Linked DNA regions of Lytechinus pictus. The protein of the gene in region 1 interacts with the protein of each later gene in a pairwise test. Links are inferred from orthologs where the notes say so. Each region holds a gene or a part of one and is shown on either strand. Other genes may lie near its edges.

The links.
Region 2: the proteins of glutaredoxin-3-like (region 1) and anamorsin homolog interact in binary tests that used the Homo sapiens proteins (3 or more experiments, as listed by UniProt). The link is inferred for Lytechinus pictus from reciprocal best matches to the Homo sapiens genes GLRX3 and CIAPIN1.

What each region holds. Positions count from the first base shown.
Region 1 is NC_087256.1:18,207,139-18,218,213, reverse strand, and holds the start of glutaredoxin-3-like, read left to right. Parts: upstream 1-6,467; 5' UTR 6,468-6,749; coding exon 6,750-6,814; intron 6,815-9,479; coding exon 9,480-9,588; intron 9,589-10,240; coding exon 10,241-10,315; intron 10,316-11,075. UniProt on the Homo sapiens protein: Together with BOLA2, acts as a cytosolic iron-sulfur (Fe-S) cluster assembly factor that facilitates [2Fe-2S] cluster insertion into a subset of cytosolic proteins.
Region 2 is NC_087246.1:50,062,690-50,074,068, reverse strand, and holds the start of anamorsin homolog, read left to right. Parts: upstream 1-6,408; 5' UTR 6,409-6,452; coding exon 6,453-6,606; intron 6,607-8,110; coding exon 8,111-8,260; intron 8,261-9,129; coding exon 9,130-9,206; intron 9,207-10,145; coding exon 10,146-10,305; intron 10,306-11,379. UniProt on the Homo sapiens protein: Component of the cytosolic iron-sulfur (Fe-S) protein assembly (CIA) machinery required for the maturation of extramitochondrial Fe-S proteins.

The DNA.
Region 1 (11,075 bases):
AGAGGCTCATACTAGGAGATTCGAAAATAGGATGGAGACGATTTTTTTTTAAATAAATAGGACACGTGACTATGGAGGTTTACTAATACTTTTTAGTAACATATCTTTAAATTTGTGCAGATTGTCCCTACCAAGCTTTTACAAAAACATGTTGGAAATATGGGGTGCTACGAAAGAAATATTGCTTAAAAAGGAAACGTCAAAAAGAAATGAGATATTCTCCAATAAGTTTACACATTCGGACTGACATATGTTATTTGAAGAAAGTTTATTTCTTAGAAATATTTATAAATTACATCATCTAGTTGATGACAAGTGTAATTTTAAAACATCTAGAGCCTGCATGAGGATGGGGTTAATAGAAGATGAGATAAGATATCTCCACACAATATATGAAAATATTCCAACAACATGGAAATGTCTCTTGAAGAAAACAAATACATGCATGGACACAGCTTTAAATTTTGAATTTATGTTTCATGGAAATATGAACGCACTAGCAAATATTACATCTAAGAAAATCTATAAAGCTTTGTTAAACATGGAATCTGAGAGGTCGTTCGCTGTTAAAAACATAAAAGGAACATGTATATGAATTTTCCGAAAAAAGAGACTGATACAATATATTTAAGACCCAGGATAGCTACCTGAAATAGAAAATTAAGGGAGTTTCAATTTAAATTGTTATACGAACTTGTATATACTAAAAATGTTTATTTAGATTTAAATTATCAACATATAATCTATGGTCGTTCTGTGGTAAATGTAAAGAGACATATCAACACATATTCTTCGCCTGTGAATACTTTTAGAACTTTGTGGACAGTGGAGAGACTGTGGTCATTTATTTAAATTACGCCAAATTGAAATTGTTAATTGGAAGGATATTCATATTGGAGTTAAGTTTTTTGATATAAAGGAAGGAACATATTACTAAATCATATTACCTTTCTAATTAAATTTATGATCTTTGAGCATAGTAAAGCTAAAAGAAGACCCCCGACCACTCAAGAGATTAGGGAAAAAATATTGGAAAATGAAAAGGAGGAGAAAAGAATAGCAGAGGCATGTGGAAAATTATCGGGTCACCTGAGGAAGTGAGATTTCTTTTTCACTTCATCTGTTCATGAAGACGAGGCATTCCGAATTCATCTATTTCTTAGACTAAACTTATGACATGCACTTATTTTCATGACAGCTGCCATGACACTTATGCGGACAGATGAAATACATTTGATCAGGGTGGATGTGTGTGTGTGCACTCGGGGGGGGGGGGTATTCGTGCGTGAATGTGTGTTGAATGTGGTGGGGGAAGGGGCTGTGACTGTGAGTGTGAGGGAGAGGCCCGAGGATTATGCATATTAAATCTTCTCTCATAAATCTTATTAGTTGTATTCTAATAATTTACAGGATTAAAGATTTGTGTGTGTGTGTGATTCAGAAATGGTAAATACTTTTGTTCGTTTTTAGGTTGTACTGCTTTATATTAAAAATATATATCATTTATGTGTATAAATGTAAGAGAAAAGAATATATATTCCTTGGAAAAAACCGCATACATTCGTAATTCCGAAGCTTCGTTATTCCGAAGGTTCGGTTATTCCGAAGGTTCGGTTATTCCGAAGGTTCGTATTTCCGAAGGTTCTTAATTCCGAAGGTTCGTTAGTCCGAAAACGAAATGAGGTTCGTAATTCCGAAGGTTCGTTAATCCGAAAACGAAATGAGGTTCGTAATTCCGAAGGTTCGTTAGTCCGAAAACGAAATGATTAACGAACCTTATTTCGTTTTCGGACTAACGAACCTTCGGAACAACGAACCGTATTTCGTTTTCGGAGTAACGAACCTTCAGAACAACGAACCTTATTTCGTTTTCGGATTATCGAACATTCGGAAAAACGAACCTTCGGAATAACGCCACAAATGTTCGGATAAACGAACCCTTTTACGTTTTTGGATTAACGAACATCGAGGTATAGGCAATTTACGTGTTTCAGAATTACGAACCTTCGGAATAAAGAACCTTCGGAATTACGAAGTGTAACCGAAAAAACAACAAAAATTAAGAATTTATTCATGACATTGTTTTACTTCATTTTCGTTAAGAATTGTCAAATGTATAGATGTGTTGATCAGAATAATTGTACGTTCAAACTAAGCATTGTAATTATGGTGTAATTTGATTTGATGCCGTTTTGAATTCATGATCATGAATGTAATATTTTACTATGTTCAAATTTGTTTGATGAGAGAAGAGAATAAAAGATTATAAAAAAAACAGTCCTTAAGATGTCTCTGTTAGGTCAGTTTACCTGGCTTTGCGCGCCCACTAAGCGACTCACAAATTTTGCTGGTGCCTGGTGCCCCCCATGCCGTGACCCACGGTACGCCACTGATGATTATGATGATAATGATGCTAGAAGTGATGATGATGATGATTAGGAGATCTAGGAGGAGAATTATTTATTTGATGATGAGGATAAAACAACAAGTAAACATTGCAAAACAATGAAGTGGTATATATACAGACATTGGATTAATGCAAGGGATCATTGTGATGATAAAGACAGACGGTGGTGGTGACGACGACGACAAAGATGATGATTATGATGACGACGACGACGACGATGATGATGATGATGATGATGATGATGATCATAATGATGATAATCATGCAGTGACAGGTGTGATGATGTGGATGGTATAAATGGGCATGATGATGACAATAATGGTGTGGATAACAGTGGGTGGTGACGATGGTGTAATCTATCCAATGGGTTGTGATGATGATGATGATGATGATAATGATAACAGGTGTGATGATGTGGATGGTAATAATGGGCATGATGATGACGATAATGATGTGGATAACAGTGGGTGGTGTAATCTATCCAATTGGTTAATTGTAATGATGATGATGGTGGTGGTGATGATGATGATGGTGGTGATGATGATGATGGTGGTGATGATGATGATGATGATGGTGGTGGTGATGATGATGATGGTGGTGATGATGATGATGATGGTGGTGGTGGTGATGATGATGATGATGATGGTGGTGGTGATGATGATGATGGTGGTGATGATGATGATGAGGATGATGCTGATGATGATGATGATGATGATGCCGATGATGATGATGATTTTTATAAAGAAAAAAATGATAATCAAGACATGGAAGTAATGAGGCAATGATGAAAATGATGAGGAAGATGAGCAGGGGCGGTATTCTGAAAACGTTCTTATCTTAATTTTGTTCTTATCTACGTCACGTTCTCAAATTGGTATTCTGAAAACGTTCTTATCTTTTTCTTATCTTTTGTTCTTATCTTTTTCTTATCTTGCTTTCCATCCTATGCTGAGCGCGTAAATTTGTTACACGCGCATAATACCAAAGCGCGCTAAAAAGATAAGAACAAAATAAAGATAAGTGGTATTCTGAAAACATTCTTATCTTTTATCTTTCTTATCTTTTACGATATTTATGATAATATTTAAGATAGCTAGAGGGTTATCATATCTCACGATGTTCGCGTTCTTTCTTGCTAAAAAAAGATGGCCACTGGTAATAACATGTATTCTTTCCATCCTTTCTTTTATTCACCCTTTATTTTGTTTTTCACCTTTTTTCTATCCTTTTGTCTTTCTTTATCTATTTTCAATTTTTCTTCCTTTCTATCTGTCTATCTTCCTTTCTTTCATTCTTCATTTATATCTTTTGCTTTATTCTTTTGAATTTTTTAATCTCTTCCTTATTCTTATTTTACTTTGTTTCATTTATTCTTCATCTTTCTTCCTTTTTATTTTTCCTTTTTCGTTCTTTTTCTTTCTTTCTTTGAATTAACCTTTCTTTCGATTTCTTTCTTTAGTCTTTATTTTTGCTTTAATTTCTCTTTCATTGTTTCATTTTCCTTTTTTCTCTCTTCCTTCACCTTTTACATTTTTTTGTTCCTTCTTTTTCTCTTTCTTTTTTTTTCTTTCACTCGTTTTTTCAGTTTTTTCAGTTTTTTATTCCTTCATTTTATCCTTTTAATCTTTTTTGGGTCCTTTTTCGTTTTTCCTTTAAGTTTCTTTCTTTCCTTTTCTTCATTTAAGTTATTTTTGCTTGCTTTCTTTCGTTTACTCTTTCATTATTTTCTGCTTTGTTCCTTTCATTTTTTTTTCTGCTTCATTCTGACCCTTTTCTGTCTCCTTTCTTACCTACTTACTTTCTTTCTTCCTGTTTTATTCTTTATTCGTACCTGCTTTATTTACTTTTTTTCTTTACTTCCTTTCTTTCTTCCTTCCTTCCTTCCTTCCTTCCTTCCTCCCTCCCTCCCTCCCTCCCTTTCTTTCTTTCTTTCTTTCCTTATTGTGCACGTGTCTCGAAATAATAATCAGTCATTTTTAATGCGTATAAAATGCCTATTTCGCGCAATGCGCCAGAAACAGTGTTCGCGCAGTGCCCATGATACTCTCTTGACATAAGGAACGCTTCTATTGGTTAAACTGACAATATAAAGCGCATTTTGATTGGTAATATCCTAAAAAATGGGCGTGTTGAAGATAAGAAGGAGGCAGTCCTTACAGAGATAAGAACGCGTTAAGAAGATTTTCAGAATACCGATTTGCAATGATTTTAGCGTCTTCTTATCTCAATGAGATAAGATAAAAGATAAGAACAAAGATAAGAACGTTTTCAGAATACCACCCCAGGAGAATTATGTTGGATCAATGCATTATAATTGACTTTCGGTGACGATGAAGGGGCGGCGGAACGTTTTTTTTTGGTCCGGGCCCTAGTACTATATGTCAAAATTAAGGGGCATTGGCAGCAATAGAGATATTTTTACCTTCACTTTATGTTTCTGCCTGCACATTGCAGAATAGTATACAGTGTACACAAAGTTCTGTATACAGAGAAGGGGAATTCTTCCCCTGGAAGTGATTTTGGTTGTTAAACAAAACAATTACCCCACGAATTGTATTGTTTTGTCGCTATCAAACATGTTGAAGTGAACCAGGACCCTGGGAACTATTCTTTTACTGGGGGGTGCTGATGTAAATATGACAAGCAAAAAACAAAGTTTTCACTACAAAATACAGGTTATTTTGCTAACATTTCTCCACTTTTTTTAAACACCTACCAGAATTCCAGGGAGTGCTGCTATAGGCCTACGCGCAGCACCCCCAAGGAAAATTTTGGGGATGCTTTCCAGGGCCATGAAATGAACATGAACACAGAGCAATGTTATCACAGAAAATGAATGAGAACGCGTTGCATGCCTTTTCTTTGAACAAAGTATTATTAAATTCTATGACGCGCCCCGTTAGAGGCAAAAATACATCACGTAATCAATTAGAAAATAACAGAACATAACCATCAGTGACGAATGTACCGAATGTGCATTATTTCAAATCAGGTTTCAAGGCACTCATTTTGGGTACATCAAACAGAAGAACTCAAAAATTTAGGGGATGTGGGGGTGAGGTGGAAAAACAAGAAGAGGTCTAGTTTCGAATGGATGGATCGAAAGATCAAAAATGGATCGAAACGTGGAGCGTTGTGGCCCAGTGGATTATAGTCTTCTGACTTTGAAACAGAGGGTCGTGGGTTCGAATCCCAGCCATGGCGTAGTTTCCTTCCGAGCAAGAAACTTATCCACATTGTGCTGCACTCAACCCAGGTGAGGTGAATGGGTACCCGGCCGGTATAGGAAGATATTCCTTGAATGCTTGAGCGCCTAGGCAGCTCAGCTAAAGCCGGGGTAAGGGGCCCGCTGGGAGAACAGTTCTCGGAACTGAAGTGGATACCCTGGGTAAATATACCTGGAGGAAATATTCTAACTTGATAGGAACAAAGGAAAGAGAATCAACTTCAGAAAGAAAAGAGTGGCACTTCACAGAGGGTATAATTCTGTGGGATATTTTAATGGGGGGCAGTTATAAGTCCCCCCTTGTACTCGGCCTCCCTGCCTTCGCCGCCCCTAGCAGCGAAACTGCAAATTAATTGTTGGTTGCCACCTGGAGGAGACATGAGTTTCACTGAATATAAAGATTGAAGTATTAGACCTATGGCTGTGTGTATTTAAAACAGAACTTAATTTTTTCCTCTGCAAAGTCTCAAATTAACCCAACAAAATGAGTGTTTTCTTTTTCTTTTTAATAAATGCAAAAACTCTAGTTACATATAAAAACATGCAAATAAAAAGATCCCCTTTTAAAGTTGCATTACTCATGACATGTTACTTCTCACTCCCCCCATCCCCCCCCCCCCCCCCAATTATCAACTATCTGAGTCTGACCAAGGAGATATCACTCTAGAGTGATATCTCCTTGGTCTGACTCATAGAGATGTATTACTAGTAGCGTTCCTCACCTGCTCCTCACCTGCTCCCGGTAAACTTTTGACCAATCGCAGACCCGGGTCGCAGACCTCGGTTATACCATGGACCTATTACATGGTTATACTAGGGAATTCGGTTCTTTAAGCCTAAATTGAACCCCAAACTACGTCCACTACAAATTTTTATAAGCCTAGCCTGTTATTTCATAATTAGCATTAATACATGTCTCCGACATCGCTACCCCCCCTTTTTTTTTTTACTTTCAGATTTTTCTCGGCCTCTGGCGGACCGGCGGGCTAGCCCGCCCGGGATCGACCGGCCGGACCGACCGGCAGCGCATCGCAGGCCAATTATTGCGCAATTGCCAGAGACTTTTTTGACCGAGCACGGAGACCTGATAAATCATCTTTTGGTTTTGGTATCGAAATGGCAGAACTTATTTCGATCAAGAGTGTGGAGGACTTTGGAAAAGAAGTAGAACAAACTGTTAGGTATGCATTCAGTTTCAGTTCTTTTGACAACCATTTGAAAAAAAAAAAATGCTTTCCTACTTCATCACCATGATCACGTTCATTGCCCCATGTGTTCATTTTCATGTCTTGTTCAAGTTGCGATTGTGTGTGACTTCTGAAGTTGTGACACCTGTTTAGTGTGTGCAATTGTGTACCCTCACTAACTTGACTGAAAGATAACTCAGGTGAGGGTAACAACACAAAATAAAATGTTCACATAATTGAGCAAGCCTAGCCCAGGCTTTTATTATACAGAATTATAAAACTGAGTGTCTATGATTGACATATGACTGAGATTGAGAACGATTTTTATTCTTACTAATTTTTCTTACTCTTAGTAAATCTTACACTGTCCAACGTACTTAGACTCTAAGTTTAATTATAAAATATCGCACACTTGATTAACCTTAACGTTTAGCATAATTGGACCGAAACAAAAATACAATCATTAAACCAAATACAAATCATGTGTATTTCTGTGGTACAGATGTTGAATATCAATGTCATAAAAAATAGAATTGAACAAAATATGGTGAATGGAAATTATTTACTTACTACCAGAACTTTGTTTTTTTGCCAAACATCGGACACAGTTTCCAATTAGATCTATCGGACATGTAAAAGTTAGGCGCTGCGATCATTTTTGGCAATTTTAATCATGCTCTAAACCCCAAAATAATTGCTTGATAAAACTTATTTCAGCTGCTCAAATTTATGCTGATTTTTATTATTACTCTCAATAATTTTGATATATCGGTAAATAATATTTATTTACTTACCAAATGGACCTCTTTCGGCTCTAAACATCAGACGCCTATGCTCAGCTGTGAGCTACTTTGTTCTAAAAAGCGAGTGCGTATGTGTTAAAAAACATTGATAATAATTACTTCTTATTAAGCGCTTTTTCAAAAGTTACAAAGTTAGCAAGGGTCATATTCTTTGGAAGTCAAAATCATGGATTTTACCCCTGGATTTAACCCCTGGAATATTTTTTTTGAGCAGCAACCTTGGTCTACTGTGTGTGTGTGTGCGACTTCAATAGAAAGTAAGTTCATGTATCACATGCATATTGCATGCAAGTCCAGTGCAGGACCCTGTAGTTGTGTGGAGGGAGTTGACGTAATTTTTGTCCGATATTTGGGCACTTAACTCCATCTCAATTCTCATCTTCCAAACAATTTTTCAGGAATTACATTTATTTTAGCATTAGTAAGTTACAAGGCCTAATCACTAATGTCAACAAATGTTAACACACCACAAAACACACCATAAACATTGTAACACACTAAGCCTCAAAGCCACTATTACATGTACTCGCCACAGCACAGGAGAGTCCCGATTTCAACTCCAAAATAGCCTTTGAAAATCAAATTTTGCTCTTGAAAATTAGAATCTGCACCATATCTCCAGTGCACATGGCGCTTAGCTCAGATTTAAAAAGTGTGATTGCTGAAAAATGCGCTAGAAATGAAGAAATTTGTGGTTTTTGTTTTAAGGTTGCCTTAAAGCCATTGTTACATGTACTCGCCTCAGCACAGGAGAGTCCTAATTTCAACTCCAAAATCGACCTTTGAAAATCAAATTTGGCTCTTGAAAATTAGAATCTGCACCATATTTCCAGTGCACATTGCGGCTTAGCTCAGATTAAAAAAGCGTGATTCCTGAAAAATACCTAGAAATGAAGAAATTGGTGGTTTTTGTTTCAAGGTTGCAAATGTTCTCACGAATTTAGGACTGAACAGTATGTTCAAAATGGCAAATCAAAATCAAAAGTCAACTGCATTGAATTTGCACCGAAGTAAATTCAGCTGCATACTAGCGTGTTGCCTTCAATCATCAGGGGCTCTGAGCGAAGGGCTGCTGTGACTTCCAGGTTGCATATCAAGTGCGGAGCCGCGTAATCCAGCGGCGCTTCCACACATCAACTTTTGATCGCTCGATGTGCCATGTCGAACAAAGGGCTGTTAGTGTTATCAACATTACTAGGTTTACAGTTAGGTTTAGGGTTAGTTTTTTTTCTATGAAAGCTTGAATCTGGCACTTTATTTTTTTCAACATGTCCGAGTTGCCTTAAGTGCTGAGTTGACCTTTATCCATTTGCAAAGCAACTCCAATATCGGAGATTGTCTCCCTCATTGGAGAGAGTCTTCAACAATCAACCATGTACCTCAGTCGCTGCAATCAAACAATGTATTGAAAACCATTTACTACCCGCAGATGGTAAAAAACTATAAGTAAACTTTTAATTTGATGATAATCATTCCGCATGTTCTGACAAAATGATTCTCAAAACCCAAATTTTTTTGGGAAATGCTCGATCAAATTTTTTCAGAAGTGCATTTAAAAAAGATGTGCTATTGTTTACTCTGCTATCTTTTATTTTGTCATGTAAAGTGATCGCCATTCAGGCAATTCAAAGCATGCAGTTTTTTTATTGCCTGGTTGAGTATCCGCCCATTGATATTGCTCAACTGCTTCCCATAAAAACAGAACAAAACAAAACGCCCCAACATTATCCTGTTGTGTTCAGAAGGAAAGTTCTTACATCTGGCAATTCTCTTCTGGGACAGAATTGTACAATTACCAAAATACTTTCAAATGATTGATGATGAAACCTATTATTTTTGTTGTTGTTCTCTGTCAGTGGTCTATTGGTGGTTCACTTCAGGGCGCAATGGGCCCCTCAGTGCCAGCAGATGAATGAGGTCATGCTTGAACTGGCCAAGGAACATCCACAGGTTCGCTTCTCAACGGTAAGTCTGCCTTTGTAACATCACCCTCTAGGGGGCCTTGGATCATCAATGGAGGGAGCTGTTTACAACTGGAAGGAAGGAAAGTGACACTGTCTACATTTATACATGAATCTAATGTCCTCAGTATTGAAACCCTGTAGGATGTGGTATCCAGATAAGGTGTAATTTGCCCAAATTGAATTTTAAGATTTTGAAAAAGCTCATCCACACAAATACTTGATTGATTGTAGAGGAATTTCATTGAGAGTTTCAAAAAAATACGGAGAAAACAACGTTTGAAGTTCAGGGCTCACTTAAGCATGAGATGTACACACTGCAATTTTGGTGAAACGTCCAAGCAGTCCTCAAAAAGTTGTGTTTATTGTTTCCTATTCATCTTAAAACTTGTAATTTGATAGTATAATGAAGGAGAATTAATCATATTGCATCAAAGTTTCAAAGCCATGATAATATCATTAGCTTTGTTCAAAAGAGATTTTTCCTACTGTGTTTTCAAACGAAACTTCACTAGTAAATAAAACATACCACAGATTATTATGAGTGGGACTGTAATACAGCCAAAGTGGTTATTGTTCGCTTATCTCAAGCATGTCTGAGGAACCTCCATGAGAGATATTTTTCTCTCTATTTTCATATTTCATTTATTTTTTAGGTTGAGGCTGAAGAACTTCCAGAAATTTCTAAAGAGTACAGCATCGCTGCAGTCCCCACGTTCATTTTAATCAAGGTGAGTCATACAACAAGTAATTGTTTGCATAATTCCACTCTAGCCCTCTTTCTCTCCTTTCCCTGTCCCTTTCTCTCTATTCCCCTTTCTCTTCCCCCTCTCCCGTTCTCTTCCCTTCCTTCCAATACCCCCCCCCCCAACACAATTTCCCATAATGGTCATTTAGGAAAACGGACCAACTCAAGTTTTAATGTTTGCTGCTAATATTGGTACAATTGTTCCACAGTTTCCTATCCCATATGTCATGACCACATCGTAACACGGTCACTGGTGCTGTCAAAGAGAAAGAATAATTAGTTGCGAATATGTATTGAAAGGCTCTATGGGCCATGTATTTGACTATATTATGTTACTGGCCTTGCAAGCTTGAATTTATGATTTTATTGCTCAGATTTCATTTTTAGTTTTTAGCCATTTGTTATTAGATTTATGGAGGAAACAAGATTCAGAATTGTCATTTTCATGGTTCTTTTAAAGTTTTTCACCATTTGCATTAGCATTGGAACAAGAGGGTGTTTCATAGTTATCATGACATTTGCTCTGGCGACAACTGCTCCGCTTTAAAATTCCACACACAAAAGAAATGACCAACTTTAACTCGGGGGGGGGGGGGGGGGCCAGTCAAATATATTGCTGTACACACGCGTGACCAAAAAACGCGTTTAAAGGGGTGTTTTTTTTCAGTTTTGGACGCGGTCCGCGCGTGGACTCGTTAAGGGTATCAAAAACACCGATTTAAAAAAAAAAGGGTGGTTTTGAA
Region 2 (11,379 bases), on another chromosome or scaffold:
TTATTTGAGCGGGGCCTTTCCAAGGTGGACGCAGTTTCCGGCTCTTTCCCTTGCATGATGCCAGATCGAGGAAATAGACCCAGTCATCCTCTTTGAAGCTCCGATGTCTGACCTTAAGGTCGTAGTCTCTCTTCATTCGGGCTTGCGATGATTTGAGCCTTGACCTTGCCAAATCGTGAGCCTGCAACATGGCGGCTGACAACTCCCGGCAATATTCCGTCGACCTCTGCCTTTGTTGCGTTGGAGGAAGAGAAAACATGAGATCTGCAGGCTGGTTTACCTCTCTGCCTAGCATTAGCCGGTTTGGGGTAAATCCTGTGCTTCGATTGACAGTAGACCTCATAGCGCTAGCTATCTGGGGTAGGAATTTATCCCAATGTGATTGAGTCTTTCCTATAAAACATCTCACGGCGTCCATCAGAGTCCGATTAAACCGTTCCACTTGCCCGTTTGCGGAGGGTCGATAAGCCGTGGTACGGGTCTTGTGGGTAGCCGTCATCTTACAAAGTTCCTGGAATAAGTGGCTCTCAAAATTTCGTCCTTGGTCTGTGTGAACCTGAAGTGGGAAGCCAAATCTACAAAAAAACTCATTCACCGCAGCTCGAGCCGTTTCCTCGGCCCTCTGCGAGGGGAGGGGAATGCATTCCACCCATTTAGTGAACTGATCCACAATCATTAGAATATATTCGTTCCCCTTATCCGATTTTGGAAGCGGCCCTAAAAAGTCCAAGTGAACTCGCTCCAAGGGAACTCCAGCATGGAAGGGGGTCAGAGCGCCACGGGCATGACGGGTGGGCTTCTTCCTCTGGTTGCATACAGTACATGCCTGGATATATAACTCCACATCAGTGCGCATGTGGTACCAGACGTATCTCAGCCTAATCCTTGCTATCGTTCGTTGGACACCTTGATGACCTGAGGTAGGTAAATCATGGTTGAGCTGGGTTACCAATTCCCTGAGCTTTCTTGGCACCCAAACCAGGAATAGTCCCTCTTTCTTCCAGCAGATCAAATTACTTCTGACCTCCAGGAGGCTTCTGTTTAACCAAAGAAACTTTTGTTCTGGTCCCCAGCGCATGATCTCCCCCTCACCTGGTTCTGCACGGCTATCCAGCCATAAGCGAATGGGCGCTAGATATTCGTCTCCCTCTTGGCCTTTGACAAGATCAATGCTGTTGTCGAGGGAGGTGAGATTGATTTGAAATCCCTGTTCGGAGGGCAAACTGGTGACTTCCCCTGACGTCAGGGCCATCTCAGCCAGTGTGGAATACACATTCTCTTCCAGCGGAGTTGGCGGATCGCTTGAGTCAGCCGAGTCGCTCCCCTTTGACTGCTTGTCAATCTTTGTCTGCCCAAGCTCGGGTATCGGTGGGCCCACCTCGGAACGGGAGAGCGGGGCTAATTTCAATTCGGGAATTCGCGGCTTCGAAGATTTCTGAGCCAAGGGTACGGTATTGTCTACTTGCTCCGCAAAGTCACACCAATTTCTATGAGCTCGGGTACAGTAAGGACAGCCACCACAAGGAAGATCATCGGGGGTTAGGCCCAATTCATACATCTCGCAAGCATCGTTGGGGGGAGGTATCCGAGAGAGGGCGTCGGCATTGGCATGGGTTTTCCCTTTCCGATAAGCTATCTCCATCTGATATTGGCTTAATTCCTCTAACCAACGGGCTAGTTGACCCTGGGGGTTTTTGAAATTGAATAGCCATCGGAGGCTACTATGATCCGTCCTCACCTGGAAGGGCTTACCAAGTAAGTAATGCCGGTACCGCCGGGTGAATAAAACCACGGCGAGCAATTCTTTGCGGGTGACGCAATAGCGGCGTTGTTCCAACCAAAAAATTACTTTTTTTCTTTCCAGGGCTCTTTTTGGAGAAACTTAAAAATTTTCCAGGGCTACTTTTTCATTTTCCAGGGCTCTTTTTCCACTTTCCAGGGCTACAATTTCTGTATTTCGCGGCTTTTTTGCGTTTGTGTGTGTGTGTGTGTGTATATATATACACGGTAGCTAGCATATACCAGGGAAGTAAAACACTTCCCTGGTTTGACCTTCGCATTGTTTCTTCGAAGTGATTGTTTATGATTTTAGTGTTGTGATGATAGATGGATTTTGATGCTTGAACGATATCTGAGTTGATTCATGGACCTAATACAGACCTATTCAGATTAAATCATGGAGGTAGAACCTCCATGAATTAATCCAAGTTTGAATGTTTGATACTTGGTTGACGTGAGCTTTGCGTGTTTACTATTTAGTGTTATAGCCCATTTGTCAAATTAATCTAGAAAGATCTGTATTCGTGTCTAAAGACAATGTAAAAGAAAAAGAAAGTTCTGAATTTGTACAATTCTGAGGTAATTTATTTTATCATACAATATAGGTACCTGCAAATGTTATGAAGTTGAACAAATATCCTTCGTACATATTTGACTGAAAGTTATTTAAATGACACTTTTTAAAAAAGACTTAAAATTATTCATACAAAATAATGATATAAGTCATAAAGGTCATTGAATTGTTAAGCGTTCGTATCAGTTACACAGATTCATGACAAAAAGGCCTACCAGAACCAAAACTGGCAATTTCCATCATCCATCATGAATGCCTAGCCTTGCACAGCCTCTAATTGAAATGAACTTATATCCACGTCTTTGCAAATTTTACCTGACCTAATTTCTCCACACAGTGAGAGAGGCCATGTGGCAGCCAAACCAAAACAGAATGAAAAGGGCGGCAATCTCGTACCCCCCCCCCCACCACCACCACAAGAATATCAGATTTCCAAACATGTGCTTCTCAAGATTGTGCAATACATGACGGAGACAAAGAAAGTTATGTAAACAAATTGCCGAGGGTTGATGTCCCTGAATTAAGGGGCTAGTCTACGTTTTCAGTCACTTAAGAAAATGGCGAACTGGCCAAAGGTGAAATACATCATTGAAAAAAAAATGAATGTTTGGATTGAAATAACGAAGATTAAATGAAATATGACTGAAAAATATCCATAGTTGAATCTCTACTTTTATTACTGACAGAACAATAACATCATTTTTTTTATTAACTTCTTGCCAATATTCCAATAAGGCAAGACTCCCATTTAAGACTAGAATGAAAGAAAAAAAAATCAAAGCGTGATTTTTTTTAAAGGGATAAACGAGACTCTTGTTTTGAACAGAGATATAAAAATATTTAAAAACAAACAAGAGGTGATAAACACTTCATTAAAATTATAATGAAGTTCGTAGTGAATTACAACTTGTAAAAGGAGAAATTAACAAGAATAATAGGGAAATAAAGTTTGGAAGAAAAGAAGGAATGAGGAGAGACAAGCTTTGGGGGGAAGGATCAAGATGGGTGGCTGCAGCTCGACATGGGGCTAGATAAATGGGAGGGGGGGAGCAATCATCTATCAAGTCGCCCAAAATCTTACACCTTCACCAAACTTCTCACACAATCCACACACAAATCCCAGTTCATGATACAACCACAAGTGTCGCTCAACACATGCGCACGTGGTCTCTACTGGCATTTTACAGTCACACACACAGAAATACACACTACACACGATGCATCCCCATACCACATGCAGTCACACTGAGCCTAAAGCAGAGAAACGTTCTGCTCGAAGTATATGACTCCTCTGCTCCAAATTCTACATTTATTTTATCTCAGTGCTTGGAGTCGGCGCTGGGGCCGATTTTCGTCCATGAATGAGAGAGCATGGCAAAGACTCGAGTCCCTTTATCTCAGAACCGCCGCCGCTTGGTACTCGAGTCTCCAGAGATCAGGGTCGACTCCCCGACTCTGGCATTGAGAATCGGGTAGACTCGATTACCCGGCGCTGGCTCCCAAGCCTAGTTGACGGGGGCGATTATGAGTTTTGCAGTCGCCCTCGTGTGAATGTTTTTAGCCCTTTTCTGGGGCTCTTTTTGGACTTTCCGGGGCGAATTCGCCCGCCGCCCCCGTGTAATTTTTTGGTTGCGTTGTTCTCTAGTTAACCCAACACTTCCATAAGCTATCACCCTCTCTTGCTCTTCTTGGAGTTGTAAGAGCTCGGCCCCAACGGCGACATCCGATGCATCAGTATCCAATATGAAGGGGTCTGTTGCATTAGGGAGTGTTAACACTGGAGCCGTAACAAGGAGATGTTTGATGTTGTCGAACGCTTGTTGGTGTTCCCTCCGCCAGAGGAAAGGGTTTTTGCCGGTAAGCTGATACAAGGGGGCGGCCGTTTCCGCATAGTTCTTCAGGAAAAGGCGATGATAATTTACCAACCCCAAGAACCGCTCGACCTCTCGGGTGTTGCGGGGAGCAGGCCATGTCTTGACGGCCCGAATGTGCTCCTCTCTCAAGTGTAGACCCGATCCATCCACGTCTCGTCCGAGGAACTCCACTCTGTTCTGGAATAGTGAACACTTTTTAGGCTTCAGCTTGAGATGAAAGGACTTAAATTTACTCAATACCTGATGAAGATTATCCAAGTGGTCAGGGAAGGACTTTCCCAATACCAACACGTCATCGAGGAAGGCGAGAGCTACTTCCCAGTTCAAACCGTTCAGGATCAGATTCATGGCCCTAGCGAATGTGGCCGGGGCATTACACAAGCCAAATGGCATCCTAACAAATTCGAACAAGCCATGCTTGGTGACGAACGCAGTTTTTTCAATGTCTGCCTCGGTTACTTGAATTTGCCAATAGGCGGAGTTTGCGTCGAGTTTGGAAAACCATACATTTCCGGCCAGGGTATCTAAACATTCCTCAATATTTGGTAATGGGAAAACGTCCTTTTTAGTTACTTGGTTAAGTTTGCGGAAATCCAGACACCATCGTACTGAGCCATCCCGTTTCCTGATCAAAACCGGGGGGGAAGCCCAATCTGAGGAGGATGGCCGGATAACTCCGGCCTTTTTCATTTTTTCTAGATGGGCATCTTCTTCGGCTACGAAAGAAATAGGGGTTCTTCTCATTTTCTGTTTGATAGGCTTAGAGTCGCCAGTGTAAATTTTGTGTGTGATTGCCGTAAAATTACCCAAATCAAAATCGTCTTTTGCAAATACATCTTTTCTTTCTTTTCTTCATCTTCACCCTGCCGACTACGCCATTTATTGTATCGTGACCTAGTATTAGTATTACCTTAAGTTAACTGTAATTTACGAGAATCTATGGGCTAATCTGACCTTAAGATATGGATCTCGCGTCGGATTATGGCCTGGCACGAAGCTTGAGTTGCACTGGTTGAACTTGAACTTAGATGTCGGTTGCAGAGCGCTCTGGTCCTTGCTGTAGCGTAGCTAGCTGCCGGGGTATGGTGCGTCCTCAGGCCAGTAGTACACGTCAGCGGTGGATCCAATTTACTCATAATAACACATAACTAAAATGCGTCTTAGCTTATATAGGGGATGGGACCCGTGAGCCGTGACAAGATACCGAAATTATATGGCCCGCCAATAGGGAATACATGTATATGTGTGTAATGCTATGGACAGCGAATAGGGAACTTATAAAGGAGTGCTTGTCTCTACAGGGGTAAGAGAGTAGCGCAGTGAGCTCCGTCGGTAATACGACCTTTCAAAGTTCACGGCGGCATCCGCTATCACCACGAGATTGAAAATAAAATGAATATCATCATAAACGATGTAAGAGAGCAACGCAATAAGCTCCGTCAATAGTACAGTCTTTAAAGGTTTATGGCGGGGTCCGCTATCACCACGAGGTTGAAGAGAAGATTTATATCATTATAAACGATGTAAGAGAGTAACGCAATGAGCTCCGTCAGTCGCACGATCTTTAAAAGTTCACGGCGGGGTCCGCTATCACCACGAGGTTGAAAATAAAATGTATATCATCATAAACGATGTAAGAGAGTAACGCAATAAGCTCCGTCAATAGTACAGTCTTTAAAAATTTATGGCGGGGTCCGCTATCACCACAAGGTTGAAGAGAAGATTTATATCATTATAAAGGGGGTAAGAGAGTAGCGCAGTGAGCTCCGTCGGTAATACAACCTTTCAAAGTTCACGGCGGCATCCGCTATCACCACGAGGTTGAAAATAAAATGTATATAATCATAAACAATGTAAGAGAGTAACGCAGTGAGCTCCGTCGGTAATTCGACCTTTCAAAGTTCACGGCGGCATCCGCTATCACCATGAGTTGGAAGAGAAGATATCTATCCTCTTAAACATTGCCATAGATAATACCGCGTCTTTCTCCCTGAATAATGCGACCTCTAAATAGCTAGCACCTCAAAAACAATCTTGAAATATGTTCTGAGCGATCACGCACTGTAACCAGATCTACGCCGATTTTTTCCTTCAAGGGGCATGATCGAAGATCGGCAAGTGATTGCCGATTGTGGTGAAATCGAATGGAATCGGTTGCCGATTGCAAAATCGGTTACAAGCTTACTTTTTTTTACCTTGCTCTTTACCTATAGCCCAGATCCAATATGGAAGACAAGATTTCAACGGGACAGAGTGTGTTGGTTGTATGGAGTCAAGGTCAGTCTCCAGAGCAAATCAAGGAGGTGGTGGAGAGACTGAGCAGTAAGGTCGGACAGAGTGGGCGTGTCCAGGTAGAGAATGACGAGAGACTTTCTATGTGTAAGTACATATATCCAGTAATCTCCCTCAATATAATTATTGCCCTTTGGAAGATTGCTTTTCCTCGCATTCCTGTCTGATTTCCAGAAAGTAGTTTTCAGAATAACTTCATAGAAAGCATTCTTGTTGCTATAGGAACATTCTCAGTGGGGTCGGTTTTTCGCATGAAATTTGAAACCGCAGCATACGATTTTACACAGTGTGTTGAGTAGCATGCCCAACACATGCGAAGATCCCTTCCTGAAGAACGGTTATGTCCTCACCTACGTTTATACTAGTTTAACGAGGAAAACCAGTCTTGAAAACCGCACCGCGAGGTGGTTTTCCAAACTGGTTTTGAAATCACTTCCAAGACTGCTTCAAGAGTTCCCATTACACATTAAACTAGTTTCCACTAAACTAGATTTAGTACTTTAATGAAAGCAGGGTCTGTGACATTTTGTATAGCATCGCTTGGGCCTTTCAAATGAAAAGTTGAATAAATAATGGACTAAATGTCATCCCATGATAGTATAGAACAACAGCAGACTGTATTTTGTTGATATTTTATAGGGAGAGGGTTTGGATGTAATGCCTCATCAAGGGCTCATTAGTCAATGAACTAATTTCTTTTAGTATTAGAGTACAAAGGGTGTAAAGAAAACCACATTTTCAAAAAGTTCAATATCTGCTCTTTAATTTGATACCTCAATTACAGAAAATGGTCAAGAAATAACAAAGTTCTGGTTATTTGAAATAAGGCTTGAATTTCAATAATTTCATAAAATGAAGAGGTTTTACAGGCTAGCGTTCAAACTTACTCGACACTCCGTTTTGTTGACGATCAGCCATGCATTAAGTCTTTTGTTACCATGCGATAGCTTCAGTGGGAAACCGGTGAAAACACGTTTATTTAATGAAATTATGGAAATACGAGGATTGTTTCGAGGGATCATAACTTTTTTACTACTTGACCATTTTCTGTGATTTAGGTATCAAAGAAGAGAGAAGATAATGAACTTTTTTAGTCATGTGATTTTCTTTTTGAAATTCAGATACCCCCCGCCAAATGAGTTTTTGGCATCCTTTCTTCGAATTGTTTTTGCGCAATCATGCGTGAATGAGGTATAATCTAAGTAATACCAGATGAAAGGGGAGATTCTAAGCTTTACATTGGTAGGTCATTTGTCTATTTTATTTATGATTAAGTTATGATAAATCATCGCTAAATCTCGGTTTCGTTTTTTTTCTGGGACGCACTGTACATGTAACTGAATTTATGTAAATGGTATATAAAGTTTGTTGTAAGATGCTTGGGTGTAAAATATAACAAAGTGTAAAAGCAATTCATGTTCCTGAGGTGGGGATCACAACGTTGCTCTCTCCTGTTTTGAACCTCAATCAAGGTACTTTCTGAATTTAATTCGAGAAATTGTTATCGTTGCTCATTTGTATATTTGGGTGTCACTTCATGATGACAGATGTAATGATAGATGTAATGATTGTCTCTTTTGATTTCTGCTAGCCTCACATCCAGCCTCCTCATTTGATGTAGCACTGTTAGGAGCAATCAAGCCATCAACACAGACCTACTCCTTTGAAACTCTTGCAGAGATAGCCAGAATCCTCAAGCCAAAGGGACAGTTGTTGTTAAGGGAACCTGTATCAGAGTCAGGTATACAAGATCAACTTTCCTTATTATTCTTTTTTTTTTTTGGGGGGGGGGCTGTATTGAAAGTATTTTACAAAACCATCAGTCACTCTCAAAAAGATCCAAAGCAGAAGATCAAAACATTCTTGTTTGGGATATTTTATTGAGTAAAGTGATACTGACAGTACATCTATATAATCGCTGTTGTGTAATATTTGCCTACAGAGCTTTTAATGCCGACTGAACTTGAGATTACATTTTGGGGTTGATGTCACATTTAGCTTGCAAAGTAAATTCATTGATATTTTATGCAGTCAGTAATTCTTTCTCATAATTTTGTAACCTTGATTTCCATAGGTGCAAGGAGTGTTTATTTATGTTTGTGTGTATATTTGTACTCAGATTCTGAGGTGTTGTACAACATAGAGAATATTCAAATTTGTACAGTGGTACAAAATATTCATTCAGTGAAAGAGAGACAATCTATTTTAGTTTTTAGCCAAATTTAATAGATCCATTTATGCCCTCCCTTTCCTGCAAAATTTTGTACCTATTGTGACTACTTGCTATCTGTTTGATTGATGGACAAATTGATTGTCACTTCTTTGGGTGGTTTATGGATGTAGCATGTAGCTATGATTCCTCAGTGAAGAGCTCTGTGGAAAGATATTATTATTTTGTGTTTCTGTGAATTTTCTTGTTTCTAAATACAAACGTTAAATGGTACAAAAATCCAAATTTTGTAAACAAGACATGGTACTGCAAAGTATTTATGAATACAGTGTTGTTTCAAATACAAACTTTAAATGGTACAAAAATCAAAATTTTGTAAACAAGACGTGGTACTGCAAAGTATTTATGAATACAGTGTTGTTTCATTTTGTGTTTTGTAGAGAATGGAGTTGGAATAAGGACACCAGCCAAGCTAGGATCAGCATTAAAGCTGAGTGGATTCATAGATATTAATCAGGTATTTCATATTTCAAATTTGTTGTTTGAAAGCACTGCTACAGTGTGTCACTTTTAACAAGGTATCTAGTCTACATTTTGGGAGGTGACCTAATCTTGTTAAGTAGTGGTTTCATGGTACACCATGTATACTTTCATGGGCGTGTGTTTTATTAAGATCTATTATCCTTTGATATTGATAGTCCAAACTGTCCCTGATAACTGTTAACGTCAAGACATGCCTTTCCCTTTCCTTGATGTTATTATAAATTTGTGAAACATGCTGAAAATTTATGTGTCCCCTTGACATCTATGCTTCCAAAGGAGCCAGAGGCATTATGCTCATGTCTGTATGTATGTCCATCCATTAAATTTTGTTCAATCGCTCTTTTTTAACAAATGTAATCATACATGTATATGAACGACAATGATCTGATTTAAACCTAAAGTCAGATTGATGAACATGATATTGATTGTTCTTGCAGTAATTTATAATAATTTATGGTTCAACTCAATTTTGGCTTATGCATACATATTAAAGAGAAAATTTTTGTTTAGGTTTTTCTATCATACATGAGAACAAGTCACATGTCATAGTGATCGTTCTCTGCATCATAGGTTTGAGAATTCAGCATTTTGGTTTGATTTTCAGCTTATTTTCAGCACTTATGTGAATTTCTTCTGAACAATAGTATAGGGGTTCTTACAATTTCAAATATTTTTGATGGTCACTCACTTACGCAAAGAAAACTATATTTTGATTCTGGATTTACTCTGCTTTCTCAAGCTATACAAGGAACAATAATTACATGTATTTCACACATAGTATTTTCTTAATTGGATTATTATTGAATAACTAATCTTTGTGTACTTTGGTTACACTTTAATGCTCAACCATAAATCATCTTGTTCCATACATGTTCATACATCATCCTACTTTTTTTTTTCTTTCAATGAACAGAATGTAGTGGAAGATTCAGATCCTTCTTCGATAGCCCAGAGTAGAAATATGACTGAAATCAATGGGTTAAAGATGGTTGAAGTGAGCTGCAATAAACCAGACTTTGAGGTGGGATCGACAGCTTCCTTACCTCTCTCATTTGCACCGAAAGCTAAATCAGGTAAATATGATAAAGATGGTACTGGATAGAAGTTTGTCTTTATGCTATTTTCACACCATTGTAAGAGATTTGTTGTTCAGGGCAGGACCTGGGCCCCGTCTTACAAAGAGTTACGATTGATCCGATCATTCACAACTATGGATGGCCAGCAACGTCAACATATATTATGCATGTTTGTTCAAAATATTTTATAACTATGATGCATATTTCAGGCATTTATTGTTTTCTTGAAAATTCACTGTGCTTCTCTTTGTTTACAAAGGACATTGTGCAAATATCCTGGACAAAAAATTATAACACTGATGGATTTCCATAGAGTTACGATTGATTGGATCAATCGTAACTCTTTGTAAGACGGGGCCCAGGCCTACCAAGATTTGTTATTGATCCAATCAACCACAACTATCGAAAGCCAGCAATGTCAACATCTATAATGCATACCTTATTCAAAATATTTCTAGATATAAAGAATATTCATACATCAGTAATTTTCTTGAAAATTCAGTTTGCTTTGCTTAGTTCACAAAGGACATTGTGCAAAGTTTCCTGTAGAAAAAACTATGACATTGGTGGATTTCCATTAGTTGAGGTTGATTGAATCAATCGTAACTCTTTGTAAGATGGGGGCTCTGTAGTCAGTTTGCCGGTGTTAAAAATACTGTAGCATATATTCTTGTGTTGTTCTTTTATTATTAGTACGACTCTTTTTTGTAGGAATTCCATGGAGCATTTTCCAAGCCTTAATATGATGCTAGCGCTAACTCTTAAAAAGAATTTGAAAAAAGAAAAGAAAAAAAATCATACATTGATGAGGTACAGTTTGAGAAGTTATTGTTATATAAATTTCCTGCTAATCTCCCATTAGTAGAGCGGATTAGCTCCAAAAATCACAACAATTGTGCAAATTTTGACTAAAGCATAAAACTTTCACAAGTATTAGTATATGCCATAAGATTTATTTTAAAGATGGGAGGTAAATTTATAAATGCCATTTTCTCCAAAACAACATACATTCCCATATAAATGGTAAATAAACATGATATAGATGACCAAAATGATCATTTTCAGGCTCCC